Caenorhabditis elegans: one gene and its partners. The protein of the gene in region 2 purifies or fractionates together with the protein of the main gene of each other region. This does not show direct contact. Each region holds a gene or a part of one and is shown on either strand. Other genes may lie near its edges. The genes, in order: azin-1, oaz-1 and odc-1.

Region 1 (7,445 bases), 2.3 Mb from region 2:
ACGTTTTGTTTAAAGATAATTGTTAAAAGAAATTGGAAATTTTAATTTTCAGTGCTGTTCGAGACGAGAGGAATCGTGCTCGTGAAGAAGCTGAAACATTACGACTCAATTATGATCTTCTCCTCGTAGGTTTTTCTTCTTTTTTCTCTTGCATGTTATTGCGCAATTCATATATTACGCGAACACAAAATTCTGAGAATGCGTATTGTGCAACATATCTGACGCGCAAAATATCTCGTAGCGAAAACTACAGTAATCCATTAAATGACTACTGTAGCACAGATTTTCGTGTACTTTTTCGTGCTTTTTTTCAATTCGATGCTATTCTAAAAATTTTCACCAATAAATGAGAAAAAAACAACGCAAAATCGGGCCAGTAGTATTTTAAAGAATTACTGTAGTTTTCGCTACAAGATATTTTGCGCGTCAAATATGTTGCGCAATACGTATTTTCGGAATTCGGTGTTCCCATAATAGTTTCCATAATACAATTAGGTCCTGGTACTATAAATACGAACTTTACAGCAACCGTACCATCGCGTTTAATAGTTTTAATGGGAAATTCAGCGAAAATTGCTAGAATAACTGCTGCGGGTACGGTAGTTGGAACATTTCATTCGTGCCTGGACCCATTGCTAAATTTTAAATTTTAAACATTTTTTCAGGAAGAAAAGAGATTTCTAGCGGAACAACTGTACCACGTCGACTCGGAATCCGACGAGCCAAAACTCGAAATCTCTCAAAAACCAGAAATCGACGGAACCAAACGAAATGCAGTTGTTCAGACAATTCATTCAATTTCATGTGATCCTCCATCAATTCTAGTCAAAAGTTATTCGGCGGCTCAAATTGAAGCAGTTCTTCGTGAGCCAAGTGTCGATGAGCCGCCCGTTGAGACGACTAAATCCGATATAAATGAAGAATTGAAGGCTGAAAATGAATTCCTGAAGGATCAGGCGAATGAGTTGAACAAGTGTCGAGAGAAGATTGAAACCGATGGAAAGACAATCCAGGATCTCCGTTTACGAATCCAAAGTATGGAGAGGGAGCTGATGGCGGCAAAAAATTCAAAAAGAGCAAGCAGTTCCTAAATGTTTCTTTTTTTTTTGAGTAAATAAAATAAACTATTTTAACTTCTTCGACCTTTATTTCTTTTTTCAAAGGAATTCGAATTCAAATTCAAATTTCGTGGTCAGGAAACATATGAAATTTCAGGAAAAAATTCAGGAAATCAGGAATATAACACAATCCGAAAGAGCAAAAAAAGAGAAATCGAGAGAAAAAAATTGGAATCAAGATTTTTTAGTTTGAAAAAGACAGATTGGATCACGGACAGGTTTCGAGAAATAGAAAATAGGAATTAAAAGAAGAAAAATGACCTAGAAAGTTTTTGAAATATAAATGGGGAATATTTGAATATTATTTGTGTCTCCAGGATGAGCAGGGGAGTCTTAGGAACAATCAAAAGAATTCGTTCAAATCCTCGATCAATGGCTCCAAAGCCATCTCCGCCTCCGAATCCTCACATGAAGATGCGTAGCCACCTTCACCATCACTTCCAATATCTTCGTTGTCACTGACACTTGGCGATGGAGAACGGCGTTGTTCATCTTTGTGGATTAGTTTTTGCCTGGAATAATTCAAATTTAATTTCAAAATCTCAAGGTTCAAAAGTTCTCACCAGCATTCTTTTCCAGAATAGTAATACACAGGCGGCACCGAATGCTCACTGTCAACAGGAATTGTGAAAGCGCCCATTTGTTCCCAAACGAGCCACTCGCCGACACGCAATTGACGGCTTTTCATGAGTCTTTGAGCAACATCGGTTCCATCCAAAGTTGGGCCGAGAATCGTTCCGAAATGTAGTTGCTCTTCAGAGTCATTCTCAACATCCAATGGTTTACACAATGGTTTAATATCCATTTGCTTGCATCCAAATGATCCATATACACCATCATTGGTTTGATATACAAATCCAACTCCATCATCGAAATCATCGTTTGTAATAAATTTGGCGTCCATTGCACGTTTTCCAATAACATTTGTGCACAATGTGAATGCATTTGTCACAAGGAAACGTCCGATGCTTGCAGAGAAATCAATATTAGATTCAAATAGGTCATCAATGACATTGTTGAGAGAGTTGCAAAATGACATGAATTCATTATTCACAGCTCCATCGGCTCCAGTTGGAACAGAGAGATTCCCAAAGCAGACACGACGGAGTGTCAGGAACTTTTGATCAGCAGTTTCGAAGATCGAGCGAGCATCGTGAACTGATGTGATGTAGTCCTCCAGGGTGGCACGAAGTCCAAGTTCGAGACTGAAAATATGTACTTTTGTTAAGATATGATTTGGAAATTTTAAAAAAAGTTTAACTTACTAGATTCCGGTAACATTTGCACCAAGAAGATGAGCCATATCTAGAATCTCCTCAATCTCATCAACTGAGCATCCGAATGGAACTTCTCCAGTCGAGTATGGAAGACAGACAGCTAGGATGATTTCAGCTTCTGGTGATGCATTCATCACATCGGTAACTTGTTTCTCGCTTTCTACAACAAAAGTGGAGCATCCAGCCAAAACAGCATTTTTGATAGCTTTACGAGTCATCAGTTGTGAGCAGAAAACTGCTCTCGATGGTTCGACATTCATGCTGACTAACTCGAGTTCTGCAGTATTCGACACTTCAAAGTTGACATCGATGTTGTTCGAGAGAACTCTAGCCAACACTGGATCAGCATTACAAGCGACTGCATAGTTGGGACGAACTCTTGGAAGCATCACACGAAGTGCTTCAAGACGTCGTTCGATGGCAGCGACATCCATCACAAAAAATGGTTGATAGGAACCACAACGAGCGGCGACGTGGCGAGCCATTTCGATTGGATTACGGTAGGCTCCAGAGAGAACGGCAATCGATTGCTCACCGAACATCTCACGAGACCATTCCGGCTCGCCAGCCGGAGTGTAGTAGGTAGACGAAGGAAGGCGGTGTCTCACCATCAGTTCTGAAAAAATATTTATATTAACAGCTATATTCTTGAAAAAAATAATTAATTAAACTCACATTTTATATCGATTTGTTGTTTAATGGGGAAATTGAATGTGCCAAGTTATGGCGGGATGTGACGGTTGTTGGAAACACGCGATGCGAGCTCTTCACGCGAGATCCACGAGACGTCGTCCGGAGGACAGAGACGGGCTGGAGACGAGGAATGAGATGAGGTCACCGTCGAAATTTTGATAATTGACGGAAGACCAGGAAAACGGGCGAAACGAGGCGGTCTATTGATTACCGGCTCGTACGCACGCTACTGGGCGATTGAATAGAAAATGAAGAAAAGGTTATAGATGTGAAGAGAGAGAGTCGGTCAGTCGGCAGAACGGGAAGCGATTGAAGAACAGAGTTGACGTCTGAAATTTGTTAAATCATTTTTAGAAACATTTTTGGTCAAATGTCTACTTCTACGAGTTTAAGGTACACGATAGCAACATGGTCTCGGCACGTGCGCGAAATCTAGAATATTTGATGTATGCGCCTTTAAGATTACTGTTAAGATTTTGTGTGCAAATAACTATCTATTTCAGTTAAATAAATAAATAACACAAAAACTATAAAATACACTAGAAAAATCGGCTGAGATTTGAAAGAAAAATCTGTACATTAATCTTAAAGGCGCGCACACCAAATATTTTAAATTAATTCGACGAGCGTGACAACACCGTTTTGCACTTATGTAAACTCGTAGAAGCACATAAGAAAATTCACTGTATTAACCTCAGGCTTTCGGATCTGGATCCCAAGGTGGCTCGGCGTTCTTGTCGAGTTGGATTTGACTGGCGCGAAGTTGAGGCTCCGCGTAGATCTTAGAGATCTGATCGACTACCTGTAATAAAACAACTATTTTCTGAGAATTCAAATATTACAAAAAAAAACTCACAGCGCCACTTAAGGGCGGTATGGAAGACTCGTTAGATTCCTCGGCGGAGGGAATCTTGGACGAATTGGGGACAGTTCGGGCAAGCTTCCATGCACACTCTCTCCCTTGGAGTGCACGGAACAAGACGATTTGTGTTAGTAGTTCACACGCAAGGTATCGAGTTCAAATCCGAGCACGACGGGGCACGGATTCTATTTGGAAAAATTATTGATTGGATTGATTGATGGTGTTAATGGAGAAATTAGGAGGAAGAGAATACGAAACGTAAGATAACCGACACAATATAATTTTATTTTATTGATTTTGATGCGTGGAAAAATTCAACATTTATCGATTTTCTGTTGAAATACCTTTAAACTTCCACGTAACCATCGTTATGTGATGTTCTTTCTATAGAAAATGCTAATAATGCCTGTCAGAATTAGGAAAGTAGACAAAGAAAGAGATGACTTGTAATCAGAAAACTGTATAGAGCAAGCAGTTCTAAATGATAAGAAGAGTGTCACGAGGAACGACGTCACACAAACTTTTTGAATTTTCTAGAATAACGCACACACAAGAAAAAGAAAAAGAGGGAAGCAGCTTCTTAAAGATATCCTGTGATGATGTCAGAGAGTCAGTTGTTTTCCGTTCGTCCCTAGAAGGAGGCGGCAACAGACACAGTTCAAAAATCGAAAAAAAGCGACCGAAAAACACGAACACCGGTGTTTTGATGGTGTTTAGAACTTTTATTTTTATGGGGAACAAACAACGAAATTCAGAAAAGAGCATTGCGTAACAAACACAAGGTTTTTGATTGATTCTAAATAGAAATTGAATTAACTTCCGGTCACAAGAAAAATGAATAGGAGCGAAATGCTAGAAATTGATTGATTTTTAGAATAATCTGCTCCGCAAAAAAAATTTCTATGGAAAAGATAAGAAAGAAGGCAAAGTGATTTTTAAAAGACAAATGGCAAGTTGCTTGTGAAACTTGGCGTTTGATAAGGAGGGAGGTCGCGATATAAGATCGGTATACCGTCAGCCGTTTTCAATTACGAAGAAATTTGATAGTTTTTTAAATTTAAAAATAATATTAAATAATTGAATATTTAATTTATCAAGTTATTTTTATCACAATTTGATTTTACTGGCGAGAGAAAGTGTGAATGACCTTGGCACGTGAGTGTGAGTTGAGAGAAGTTGCGAAATTTTAGATTTTTTTTTGATTTTTTACTTAAAAGATAACTTTCAAAGCTGGAAGTCTTTGAAAATTATGAATTTCCGCAGAAGCTCCCGAACAAAGTTCATCCTGAACAGCAGACAAGGGCAGAAGACAATTAAGAAAAAATCTGGTGACTGATTGGAAAATGAAGCCGAGAGGAAAAAATTGTGCGGGCGGCTTGTGATAGAAAAGAGAAAAAAAGAAATTTTTCCAAGAGAATCGAGACGCAGACTTGGGGCCAGAGAGCAGAGAAGCGGGGGCTCCGAGAGCATGCATCACAATTCCGCGCTCTTCTATTTTGGCGTGTTTTCGAAGGCTGTCGCGGAAGAAAAGTGGTCACATGACACCGTGGTGGTCAGCAAACGAGTTTTTTTAATGTTCTTCGCTTCGTAATCATTAAACTTTCTGGGAATAGAGCTTGAGATATTGGGGATCTGATAAAACGCGCTAATTATCGAGTTACACTTTTCAATCGATTACACAAAAATCGTAGAAAATTGTAAGAGAACAACGCGGAGCAAATTTCGTGTGAAAAATGAACTGAAATTCGTTTAAAAGGAGAAAAACTAAGGAATATTTCGACCGAAATAAAAAAAATTCAAGAAAAACGCGGCAATGCAAACACGCTTTATTGCGAAAGTGTCTTGAACCTCTCACTTTCGCACAGTCTCTCGTCAGATGATATCATTAATGCATTTTGTAAATAAATATTTTCTGATTCTTGGACAACAAATCGATGAAGCTATAGCTATAGCTAATGTTGATTCAATTCAAAATATTATAAAAAATATTTTTATTTTCTGAAAAAAGGAAACCCGAAAAGCAAAAACTGCTCAAGAAAGAAAGGCAAATAAATTATTATTCAAACGAATTTCACAGAGAGAATTTAATCGATAAATAAAACTTTAATCGATAACACACGTATTTGTCGACAAGTTACAATTGTATTTTTTTCGGGAAAAATCGGGGAAGAAACATCAAAAAAGGAGGAAACATTTAAATATCATGGGAATCGGGAAGGACATTACAGAGATCGACGAGTTTTTGATGTTTTGGGGGGTTAAAATTCAGAAAAAGCGATAAAAATTGTAATTTTAAGAAAAAAAATCTATAAATTAGGTGAATAAAGGGAACAAATTGAGATTCTGTGCATCAATTTCCGTGGCGTGCTCGTTTTGGTGGAACTCCGGCGTCTCCTCGATCCTGAAAATGAAAACTTTGAGATTTTCCAGACACGCAACCAGAGCAATGGTATTTAGAGACTAAAATTGATTGTAGTTGGTAGTGTGAGCCTCACCAAATACAAAAAATCGGATTTATATGGTTCTTTGAAATTTCAGCAAAATTTTGGCTGAAAATTTGACTTTTTCCGTCTAAAAAGTGCGTTTTACATGAAAATAACGTTTTTTTTCACATTTAATTTAATCGATAATCAGCATTCCAATAATTGCCAACGATGAAATGGTCATTCCAATTTTCTGCTTCCTTGTGGACACCTGCATTTTCTCTCCCATCAACCACCCGACTGTAATTGTTGCGATGAACTGAATCGCATTCACACACGGAACAACAACAGTAACAGGAAAGTTTACAACAAGAGCGTTGAACATTACCTAAAATACATTGTTATTCTATATAACTTGTTCAATGTGTTTTGTTCACCGATCCAGATTGATTAAGAGCGAAAGGGATTGAGAATCTCCAGTTGAGAAAAGATTTCAAAAATCCCAGGATTATTCCATTCTTTTTGTTCTCCAGATCTTTTGAGGCTGCTCTGAGCAATGGATTAGTAGCTCCCCACACAAATCCAACAACGATTATTGATAGAATACATTGGACACCGCATTCCGACATTCAGGAAGCTTAGTGTTTTGTTATTAGGGAAGTTCGAAGCTCAACTTGTGTTAAAAAATAAAAATATTTCTAAGAGTTAATCCACATATGATATCGAAGAAAAGGGTTTAAATTCAAATTTTATTCATATTTATAAATCTTTATTGTATGTATTGTGTATGCCTGTATACAAATCACTCGTTGTCGTTCCTAAATCTTGAAAAATTATGGATTTAATTATGGGTCTCCATGATCTCCTTCGTCTCCCAATCCGGATTTTGATACCTAAATTTTATACATAATTGCAGGGAAATAGAATAAATTTGAATATACCTGTAATGTGCAATTCTACAGAGCTGGGCGAGCCCGGTGCACATGACGAAAAAGTTCACACTACTCAAATAGTAGTTGATTGGGGTGATGACAAGGCAATATCTCGTCCAGATGGCTCCAGTGGCGAAGAG
Region 2 (5,103 bases):
GCCGTTGGATAAGAGTTGTGCTGACTTTTGGTACATGTGCCTGCAGGTTAGACATTTATTTTTCTGAAAGGTTATAGGTTTGATGTTTTCAGGAAAAAGTAGATTCGATCTTCATGCTGTGCAATATTATGGAGAAAGGAGCTAAGAAGTGCTGCGACTACTTCGCTTGTAAGGATAAGCCTGTGTTGGAGTTTGAGGAGAAGGGGCACAAGATCATTGTCAAATTCGAGTCGACTGGGAAGGTTCGATTGAATTTTGTTGTAAAATTTTAATAGGTTTTCATTTCAGATGAAGTTCGAAAAGAACACTGACGCCAAGATCACGGAGACGGTTTTCACAGTAGAAGGACCCGGTGGACTCGCTCAGAAAGTCACCCAGTATCACTGGATTGATTGGCCCGATCGTGGAGTGCCAACTGCTGATATGGCAATTGTGGAGCTTCTGGCGAAAACAAGACCTTCCAAGTAAGTGTTGTTCCAGTATACTCATGCCAATCGCTCTGTTCAGGGGTCCCACCGTTGTCCACTGCTCGGCAGGAATCGGTCGTACCGGCTCAGTGGTCATGATCGAGTACATTTTGGATCAATTGCTTGGTGGTCAGCAAATCGAAGAAACCGACAAGATTTTGCAAAAGATCCGTGAGCAGCGGAACAACTCTATTCAGGTTTGCAACTGCAATATGCTTAAAAATTAAATAATATTATTTTCAGACAGACCAACAATATTTATTCGTGCATCAAGTAATCCTGAACTATTGTCTGGATAAAAAGATGTTTGATGTTGATGTGAAGCTGGCTCATCTTGCATTCACAGAGAAGTACATGAAGTCCGTTCACTAAATATACCTGCCGTCTTACAATTCTTGAACTACCAAATAGTCTCGTATTCGAATAAAAAAGTTCTACCTTTCGAAAAGTTTTTTGTTTGAAATGAAAGTTCACCAACTCTGAAAAGAATCTTAATTCTATCTTTTGAAGTGGAAAACTATTCTTCAAAATTAAAATTGTTGGACCCAAGAGGCCTTTTGAAGTTCTCGTCTCGAAACTCAAACAGAGAGTTTCACCAGGCTGATTTTTCTAAAACACAAAAAAATCGCTAACTTTTTTTTGTTTTGCGATATTTTATTTTACCATGCTGGTCTAGTGGTATTCCCAGACGCAAAAATTGTTTGTTATTAAATGTAAGAGTGTGCGCCTTTAAAGAGTACTGTATTATCAAACTCTCGTTTCTGCCTAATTTTCATTGATTATAGTTTTTCTCATGCTTCCAAGCTTTTTCTAAAAATAGTTTTTTTTTGTTGATAAATTGATAGTATAGCAAAACTATGGAAAAAATATGAAAATTCCGGAGCAACCTAAGCTTGCACGTACAGTACTCCTTAAAGGCGCACACTTTCAAATTTAAGAAAATTGATCATGTCGAGACCCGCTAGTGTATTTTTGCTTCGTACTTTTGTAAGATAGTCTCAAAATTTCGCATTTGCGTAATCGACCTAACGATACCCAATTCATGATGGGCGGAGCATTTTGAACATTTCTCTACAAAATCGTTTTTTTTTTGACAATTTATTCGTTTCTCCAAAAAAGCTGGCGCGTGGACAGAAAAGTGGTGGGAAAGGAGGGATTAATTTAAAGAATGTTTTAAAAAAAAGAGAATTTCTCAGGAAGCATCGGTCACTAATATCTCTTAGAAACAGGAATGAGCTGGTTGTGGATGGGAGTGGGTGTGGTGGGCAAAAATAATCAGAGAAATAGCCAAAAAGGATTTTTTCTGGAAAATTAAAGAATTTGTACACTACATGAACACAGAGATTTAGAGAATTATACTAGAGAATTCTTGAAGGAGGAAATTTTTTGAAAGTTTTTAAAGTGCATTTTTTCGAGGGGTTGGTATAGAAAAAGGTGAGAGAAAGAAAAATAACATTTTTAAAAGCGGCGAGAAATCGATAAAACGAAAAGAAATTGGTGAGATGAATCCATTAGACCTTGTAGCTCATGATGAAGTATTTTTCAGCTGGGAGATGAACTGGATGCTCGTCGATGGCATATGGACGGAATCCGACGTAACGAAGAGTACGTGGGAATCCTTCCGTTGGGTTAATACGAGCCTTCTCAAATACAGCCAAAACACGCTCCATTTCTGTAATAAAAAAGTTTACAAACATTTCTCAGGGAATATAACTTTTTAACAGGATTTCTCCGTTTAAAAACACAACTTTGTAGAAAATCTAGAAATGGTTGAAATAGAACTCACCGAGTTTGTCTTCAGCGAACTCCAAGAGGTCCACAAAGTTCTTCTTAGAGATGCCGAGCACCGGTTGATCGTGTGGAATCATGATCGCCAATGTCTTTTCGCCAATCGATGTCACGCGCCAGTTTGGAGAAACGGCCGATACGATAGCGCGAGTTTCGTTCGGCAATTTGGTGAGCACGCCATGGGGGGCGTCAAAAACACCATCCGACGTCGCCGGGCTGGGTCGAGCATGGGGAGGCGGTCAACGAGCTGAAAAATCGAAATATTATTGTTTAAACTGCCTTCACATTGTATTCTCACCTGTCGACGGCAGACTCGTTGACCAATTGATTCGATTTATTCGTAAAATTACTACTCAAAATACTCGACATCTTGTCTCTCTTGATAGGTACGAAGCGGGTGGTGGGAAACTGAAATTAAGAAGAATTAGATCGATTTAAAAGCAAAGTGAACGAGTGGGCGAGGGCGAGGAAGCATAACGGAAATACAAATTAATATAGTTGTGGTGATCAGAAATTATTCCAGAGAACTGATTCGTATCCCAGATGTTTAAAAATTGATTTTAACCAATCTCAACATTTACGGTGTCCTATAATCAAATATGCTAGAAATAAATTAGAATAATTCGATTAGTTTATGCCAAAGATTAAAGCATGTCAGAAGAGATTTTTGATTCGTTCAATTATTTGATTTACTTCGTGGCTTTTAAATAGAAATTAGAGGCTTTTGATTCTTAAAAGCGTAAAATGTTGTATTGATGTCAAAGAAGATCTATAGAACAGACATAGTAATGAACTGTCTTATATTTCTGTGTTATTAACCTCTAAAGTAAATTGTCACAAGACATACAGAACGAACATTGAGTGAACACAAAGAAGCATGTGACCAGGCGATAAATGAAGTGCGAGGCGGAGGAACAGAGGGACATAAAGATTGCGAGACGACAGAGAAACGCTCTTTCTGGCTCAATGGCTTGCTGGCGCCATTTTGAATGAATATATGTGACGTGCACATCGCAGATCTTTGAAAGTCATATGGTAATGACGAAATGGGTCGTTACAAAAGTGAAAGTAGGGATGATTATTTCTTATTGCACATTTCAAAATCAGATCCAAATAGAAATCGTAAACCCTGTGGGACTCGATTATCAGTTCTGCTCAATTGCCATGATACAAATAATTGGTATACTCACGCCATTAGGATACTTTTCCGAAAATACCTTTTTTCTAACGGAAATTTTTAATCAGAACTGGAGCTAACATAATATTACCAGACAAACAGCGCCTTGTGATATCGAAAGTAATTATTAATCAAAACATTTGCGCCTAAAAAAGGAGAGATCAATAGAATCAATGAGTGGATTTAGTAATGTAAAACTAGAAACTACTCTATATTAAAATCGATTTCGACAACAAAGAATAGAAAATCATATGACTTCACTACAGCTTATTGAGGCAAAATGAAGGTGAAACAGTGAAGATAGAGAAGAAGGAGAACAAGATCGATCGACGTGTAAACAGTGAATCGAATGATTTGGATGCCTTATCTATTGTGGACCGAGAATGTTCCCGGAAAGATAACAGTGTCATAAGACTTGCTCTTCGCCTATTTTATTGCGAAATAATTATTGATTTTCGATAGATGATTTGCAGACCTAATTTAGATTGTGATCAGATAAGAAAAACTTTTAAGTTTATGTGAGCATAGGAATATTAATGATTTGAGTAAGTTTTAAGAGAAACCAGAAACCAGAAATAAAAATTAAATTATTACGAAATCATTCAACAAATTACGACAGTATACCAACCAATTATCAAAGATTGAGTACGTAGTTCCTTTCTTTTCAAGTACTAATGATACAGAGAAAACCAGAAAAGGGAGTCGTTATCAAGGAGAACTATTGGCACGTTTCACTGCTTTTAAGCGCTGACGGAGAGAACAGAGAAGCAGCAATTTCTCTGAATCTCTCAACTTTATACAATCTATCTTTGCTTTTCATTGATTGACGGAAGGCGGCGGCGGTTGAGGCCAGAGACGCAGATTGTGTGACCGAGACGACGAAAAACATCTCAACAGCGTCAAGTTCGTGTTTTTGGTTTTCACAGCTGTTCGGAGGGCGAATTCCAAGGGGAAAAGAGCAAAGAATTGGGAATGGTCACGGATTTGAAATATTTATCTTGAAAGTTGTCTTAACGTGAAGAGAAGGGATATGTTACCAACTCCGAAATGTTCTTATCAATGTTTGAAAATCGGGTTTGAGATCTATAGCTAACAGCTATAATGTTTTTAAATTAAAATAATAGATCAAACAACTTTTTTCAAATCAGAAAAACTTCGGAGGACACGGGTGGCCATGTGATCTTGTTTTCTTTTCTTAAAAAATGCGGAAGTTGGATGTGCAGCTTCTGGTCAAAACAATCAATCAACGGCAATTCAAGGGATAGGAGGTCTTCACCAAAAAAAACGATTTACAAGGATACAGTGGTAAGAGCATAAAAAATAGTGAATCCTTATAAAAATGCATTCAAAAACTTTCTAGAGAGAGAGATAAGAAAACGAGAAACGCGCAAGCTAAAATGCGAAGTGCGCCAGCAAGTCGTTGGCGCAATTCTCGCTTTTGGATTTTTTCGAAACAGATTTTAATGAATTCTAAGACCAAATTACTGTAGTTGGAAAAAAACAGAACGCCAACGGAATCAGAATTTTAACGTTAAAACATAAAATAATTTTTCCACTACAAGAGAAACGTGACATTGCTGATCAAAAATGTAAAATATACCACGTTGCAAGTCAATCTTCTCCACCAGAGTTTTAAAAAATCAGTTCGAATTTCAACGAAAATCGCAACGA
Region 3 (5,666 bases), on a different chromosome or scaffold from region 2:
AAGCTGAGTTGGCAACAGAGAAGATACCGGTGAGTTGGCAAAACGCTGCGAAAAAACAGGAACAAAACTGAAATTGATGTATAATTTTAGTTGCTGAAATTGGAGTTGTATGTGATGCAGAAGCTGTCTATGAAGGGACCCAAGCACATGGCCACTCTTATTGGTATATTATTTTTCTCTTGAAAAGAAAGTCTAAACTCTATTATTCAGACAAGGGACGCCACGAGAACTTCAACTACATTGTCATGAAATTTCTTGGAAAATCCCTGCAAGATGCAAAGAAAACAGGACCAGATGGCCATTTGACATTGGGTTCAGCGATCGGAGCTTCGATCCAGTGTTTGGAGGCCTTGGAAGAGCTACATTGGTGTGGGTTCTTGCATCGAGACGTGAAGCCTGGCAACTTCTGTCTCGGAAGAGCAGAACTCGGCGAGCTCCGCAAGATCTTCGTTCTCGATTTCGGATTGTGCCGAAAATTTGTGGATGACCGAAATGTGATGTTGCAGCCGAGACGGAAGGCTCCATATCGGGGAACACCTCGCTATGCGCCAATCGCATCTCATAATAGAGCGGAACATGGAAGAAAGGATGACGTCGAAAGCTGGTAATTTACTGAAATTTACCCTATTCCCCATACATGGGACGTTAAAATTTTGAGAGCAAAGAGAGAAACAGAAAAATAGTCCGAAAAGAAATTCGAACCACGTGGCAAGGGTGGCAATGAACACATGCATAAGGCTACTTATCGATTCTATAATACAACACCTGAAACACGTTTTAATACAAATTTTTTCCTGCCCATTTCTCTGTCCATTCTCCAACCGTTCATTTCCCTGGGACCCCACTGCAGAATTTTGTGAATGAAAAATTATCTGAACGCCCGCTTGAGTTGTCAGGGAACGACGCGATTAAAACCCAGTTTTTTTTAAATTTGAAAATATACATGTTTTTTTAGGTTCTATATGCTCGTCGACTTTACCAATGCAGCTCTTCCTTGGAAAGTTGTGAATGAGATCCCACAGGTTGGTGAAATGAAGAAGAACTCTCGTTTTGATCCACTCGTGACTCAATTATTGGCTGGATGTCCGGTAGATGAGTATCGCCTGATCATGAAGTTAGTCTCTACAAAAATGTACTTATTCGTAATATTCAATTTCTAGCCATATCGATGGTCTTTCATTCTTCATGGAGCCCAATTATGGATTAATCTATTCAACACTGAAAAGACTGATGCAAACCAGAAATATCCAAGAATTTCCGTACGATTGGGAGGCTGAGTATGCTGTGAAATAATAGAACTTCGATTGTCGTTAAATGAAAGATCACACTTTTTGTTCCTTTTTTTGTGATCAAGTTTCGAAATCAACAAGAATGCTAACAAAAGAATATTTATTTTCCGACACAATAATTTAGACAAGAATCAAACATGAGTTGAGTCACGAATGCTCTCCCACATTTCCTCGCTCATCACATACATCGGCACAGGCTTCGAAAATCCATTGAACGTGGTGGCAGCGGCAAGAGTGTACGCTCCCATGTCCGGATAGTAGAGCCATTCTCCAACATTCATCTTTGGCATCAACTTCTTATCCTCGACAAGATCTAGACTGTCGCAAGTTGGCCCCCAGATTGTTGACATGAACTTCTCGTTGCGATCAGTGTCAAAAAGCGGGGATCCGATTGGATGAGCATGATCGAAGAGGATGCAGTTGAACGATCCGTAGACTCCGTCGTTGATGTAGTACATGTATCCATGATCAGCGCAGTCTTTTGGATCCTTTGTGATTTTGGAAGCAGGAACCTCGGTGGCATGAATGATGTTTGCAACAAGAGAAAATGGACCGGCTGCGAAAAATCTTCCTGGTTCAGCAATCAGGCGCTTGTTGGTGTCTGGAAAGAACTCATCAAGAGCATCACGAATTGTCTCGGCAATCTGAAAAAAAATTAATTACATTAGAACTTAGTAGTTTTAAAATTTACCTTCTCGAATGGGTTATGATGTTCGGCTCCTGGAAATCCACCACCCATATCAATAATATCCATCTTGAATCCGAGCCCTTCTCCAATCTCACACAAGTTCTTGGCATGCTGAAGAGCATTCCTGTAGGCAGATGCGTCGTTGCATCCCGATCCAACGTGGAAAGAAATCCCAACAACATTAATTCCCTCTTCGGAAGCCGTCTTAAGAAGTTGTGGTGCAGCAATAATTGGGTCGGCTCCAAACTTCAAATTGAGTGGGCACGTAGCAGTTGGGTCAGATACAGCAATGCGGAGGATCATTCTGAAAATTTAGAAAATAATTTAACTTTTCCAATCAAGAATTTATGTTTAAACTTACTCAGCATTTGGATGAAGCTTGGCAATTTTAAGAAGTTCCTCCGGGTTATCAAAAGTCATCATTTTGACATCACGGTCCATTGCGTGAGCAATAAAACTGCGTGTTTTGCATGGGTTGGCATAGATGATACGTTCCGCAGAAACACCGGTCCCCATAACAATATCGATTTCATCTTTGCTAGCACAATCGAATCCACATCCCAGAGAGGCAAGAATGCGAATAAGAACCAAATCAGTGTTGCACTTGACTGCATAAAATGGCTCAATCATCGGGAGCTCTCTCTTCCAAAGCTGGAATCTCTCGATAATCTTATCAAGGTCAACGAGCATGAAAGAAGAGTCATTTTCTTGCAAATCCTTGCTGGCAGCAATGTCACGGCACATTTGGAGTTGATCAACTTGCTTTGGAAGCACGCCAATCTTGTTGTCACCAATAATTTCGAATTGAGAAATCATTTTTCAAGTTATTAGAGTTGGGGGATCTCAGCTCCAAGGAGGCGCTCCTGCACGCAAAGGATCGTAGATGTACTTGTAGCAGACGGCAGATACGACGACGATTCCGTCGAAGTCGATATCTGTGGGGATGTAAGCCGGAAGCCGGGCTGCGGACGCCGCTAGCCTCTTTGATTCGTCAACACGAGAGATTTTCTGGCAATGGGTCTTCCCAGGTGTAAGATCAAAACGCTGCTAGCAAACTCTGACGGTTAGCCACAACGTTAAGAACTGAAAAAAAAACATATTAGAATTGATAGAAACAATGGAGATCGAAAAAACAGTTAGAAAATGTAGGTCAAATTGCTCGAAAATTTTTTGCGTGTATAAGAAAAAGGGCACACACGCAGTAGACAGAAACGAGGTGTTGGTCAATCGAAGAAATGTACACATAGACGATACGATCTAATAACGAGACGGAATGGCTTATCACTGACCACCGTGTATCTATTTATACTGTTGGCAGGAAATAGGCGGAGTCAACTTTGGAGAGAGGAAATGGTGATGATGTGGTGTAGCGGTTGGGGGATGCCAGTCATGAACAATGGGTGCAGGGTGTACCCGCGTTTTATGACGGGGAGGAGGAGACGGGTGGCGATCAAAAGACAAAGATAGAACGTCCGAGTGCAATGTACCTGTATATACCAGATGGCATTATAGTGGTTTAGAGTGACGTTTGTTGTATTAGGCCAACTCGAGTTTTGGAGCAGTAACAAGGTTTTATGTGCTATACTGTGACTTATTTCTGAACCAATAAAAACATTTTTAAAGCAAAAATAATTAAAATTTTCAAATGAAGCTGGCCTATTCTAATTTAGAGCATACACCTACATAAAATTCTGACCGATCGTTAAAAACTAACGAAACAGTACAAACGTGTGATTGCGAAAATATAAAATCGAAAGGAAAACTTTGATCTGACTAGTCTAATGATAACATTGTATAGAAAACATACAACTGACATCAGCTTACGTTTCCCATCATTTATAACAACCTTCTCTTGTTCACATGAATTCGGTCAACAATTAGTCACGTTTCCACCCTCTTCTGTAACACATTCGCCCAGCTTCATTTTCTCGTTTTCCCCCGTCTTTGATTTCTTGGCGAGTGCACTCGACCCGTGTAACTATCACAAACGTCAATTTATTTACGGCATCTGGGGCCTATTCTGGTCTCCTTTAACTTCGTGACGAATCTCAGTCGTTTGATTGTTCGGCGACGTAGTTGGTCTCTACCGTACCTGGTCCATTTATAATTTATCAATTTGCATATCAATGTGATAATATCACATTGCCCCATTGTTATGCGTCGATCGTCTTCACACACACCACAAACTACTTCTTTTTGATTCTTTTGTGACATTTATGTGGTGCAAGTCTCAGACTCGAGGAGCTGCAAAATGCATTGTTTGAAAATATTTCAACGACATTCCATTCCATGAATCAGCTTATCAAAAACTGTTCTTTGGACTCGCTTTCAAAAAGGGAGTTGATCAGAGATCATGTGATTTTCATGCTTCTGATTTGACAAAGTATCCGTACCATAAATTTAAAAAGCAGTTTTAATAGAATACTGGGACCTTTCAAAAAGTAAGACTAGAATGGCGGTTTTCTTGCCTAAAAATGCTATTAAACTTCACGTTTAGACACCGGAAGTTTTATACTCACCATCATTTTTGAAATGATGAAATTTGTTATTTGTTCATAATTTTTATTATTATTAAAACATATAAAATGAAACTAGAAAATACAAAAATAGTTGTTTATCACCCAAAGTGGTTCGCTAAGGCACGTTTGAAGTTATGATTTGGTTGTTTGAAACGTTGAAAAAATATAACAATTAAACAGACTAAAAACGTCGCTCAATTCTGAATAATAACGAAGAACGACATATTCCATAAAAAATTGAAAAAGAATATCAGAATCGAAAAATACTAGTGATGAGAATTGGAACGAATAACACCTAAACATTGAGTTGACCCGAAACATTTGTTCTATTAAGAATTCTGCTGATGAAAGATTTTTTATGATTGGAGCAATTGATCCTCGTACTGTTTGACGAAACACTCTCCGACAGGGAAGAAGTCCCAGTCTCGATTATCGTACTTCTCACGTACGTACGTTTCTTGACCAGTGTACTCTGTTTCGTCTTTGTTGACCAGATGTTGTAAGAAGAACCTAGAAGTTTGAAAAGTTAGAACAGTTGAATAAAAGCATTTAACATACAGGTAATTGGCAAAGTTGTGCTCTTTGGTGGTGTGAATTTCGAAGCCTCGAGGCATCCGATCAAACGTTTCTTTGCCGATGTCGCAAATGAAACATGATGACTCGAGCTTCTCAGTTGCAGATTCTTGTTGATCACGAAGCTCTCCGAAAGCGTCGATGATCAAACCTAAAAATGTTCAATTTTTGGAAGAGGATGTTGCATCATATTTTATCAAAGCGACAGTTCAATTTAGAATTGATAACCCTCGAAGTTTTTGAGAGCTATTTTCAAGTGGAATCAGAATCAGAGAGCACTATTTTGTTTCAAAGTTGGTGATGAAGTTCAGCGACTTACCCTGCATGATAGCAAGAAGAATAATAATGACGAAGAAGAAGAATGAGATGTCGTAGAACATTCTTGGATATTCCAAATCGTCGCCATATGGACTCTCGAGCTCATCTCCAATACCTCCACCGGCACGCACTCCGGCATAAAAATGGTAAATGAAACAGGTGAGCATATTGTGACACTTTCGATCTGGCTCTTCGCCCTCTTCACCCTCTTGAACATAGAATTTACGGAAGAAATTGAACGCGATGACAGTGTAGAGATACACGACTACAAGTGTCATC

Evidence for each region.
Region 1: the proteins of oaz-1 (region 2) and azin-1 purify together in Caenorhabditis elegans (co-purification; one study listed by BioGRID). This does not show direct contact.
Region 3: the proteins of oaz-1 (region 2) and odc-1 purify together in Caenorhabditis elegans (affinity purification with western blotting, with the first as the bait; one study listed by BioGRID). This does not show direct contact.

What each region holds. Positions count from the first base shown.
Region 1 is NC_003279.8:3,827,807-3,835,251, reverse strand, and holds azin-1 (Antizyme inhibitor 1), read right to left. Parts: upstream 4,691-7,445; 5' UTR 4,068-4,690; coding exon of another isoform or gene 3,945-4,067; intron 3,891-3,944; coding exon of another isoform or gene 3,782-3,890; intron 3,418-3,781; coding exon of another isoform or gene 3,375-3,417; 5' UTR 3,234-3,374; coding exon of another isoform or gene 3,117-3,233; 5' UTR 3,071-3,116; intron 3,012-3,070; 5' UTR 3,007-3,011; coding exon 2,384-3,006; intron 2,324-2,383; coding exon 1,682-2,323; exon of another isoform or gene 1,631-1,681; coding exon 1,462-1,630; 3' UTR 1,132-1,461; downstream 1-1,131. Other genes in the region: F53F10.1 (Coiled-coil domain-containing protein 102A), read left to right, coding at 53-125, 666-1,091; F53F10.8 (Transmembrane protein 234 homolog), read right to left, coding at 6,570-6,761, 6,811-7,002; mpc-2 (putative mitochondrial pyruvate carrier 2), read right to left, coding at 7,215-7,266, 7,315-7,445.
Region 2 is NC_003279.8:6,090,867-6,095,969, reverse strand, and holds oaz-1 (Ornithine decarboxylase antizyme), read right to left. Parts: upstream 2,664-5,103; 5' UTR 2,625-2,663; coding exon 2,554-2,624; intron 2,503-2,553; coding exon 2,445-2,502; coding exon of another isoform or gene 2,254-2,444; intron 2,140-2,253; coding exon of another isoform or gene 1,979-2,139; 3' UTR 1,533-1,978; downstream 1-1,532. Other genes in the region: ZK484.7 (Protein-tyrosine phosphatase), read left to right, coding at 1-46, 93-242, 289-464, 508-664, 711-839. UniProt on the Caenorhabditis elegans protein: Ornithine decarboxylase (ODC) antizyme protein that negatively regulates ODC activity and intracellular polyamine biosynthesis and uptake in response to increased intracellular polyamine levels.
Region 3 is NC_003283.11:6,897,164-6,902,829, forward strand, and holds odc-1 (Ornithine decarboxylase), read right to left. Parts: upstream 3,061-5,666; 5' UTR 2,794-3,060; coding exon 2,339-2,793; intron 2,282-2,338; coding exon 1,981-2,281; intron 1,934-1,980; coding exon 1,421-1,933; 3' UTR 1,377-1,420; downstream 1-1,376. Other genes in the region: K11C4.1 (non-specific serine/threonine protein kinase), read left to right, coding at 1-29, 91-163, 211-604, 956-1,114, 1,161-1,293; unc-68 (Ryanodine receptor), read right to left, coding at 4,853-5,006, 5,055-5,220, 5,389-5,666. UniProt on the Caenorhabditis elegans protein: Catalyzes the first and rate-limiting step of polyamine biosynthesis that converts ornithine into putrescine, which is the precursor for the polyamines, spermidine and spermine.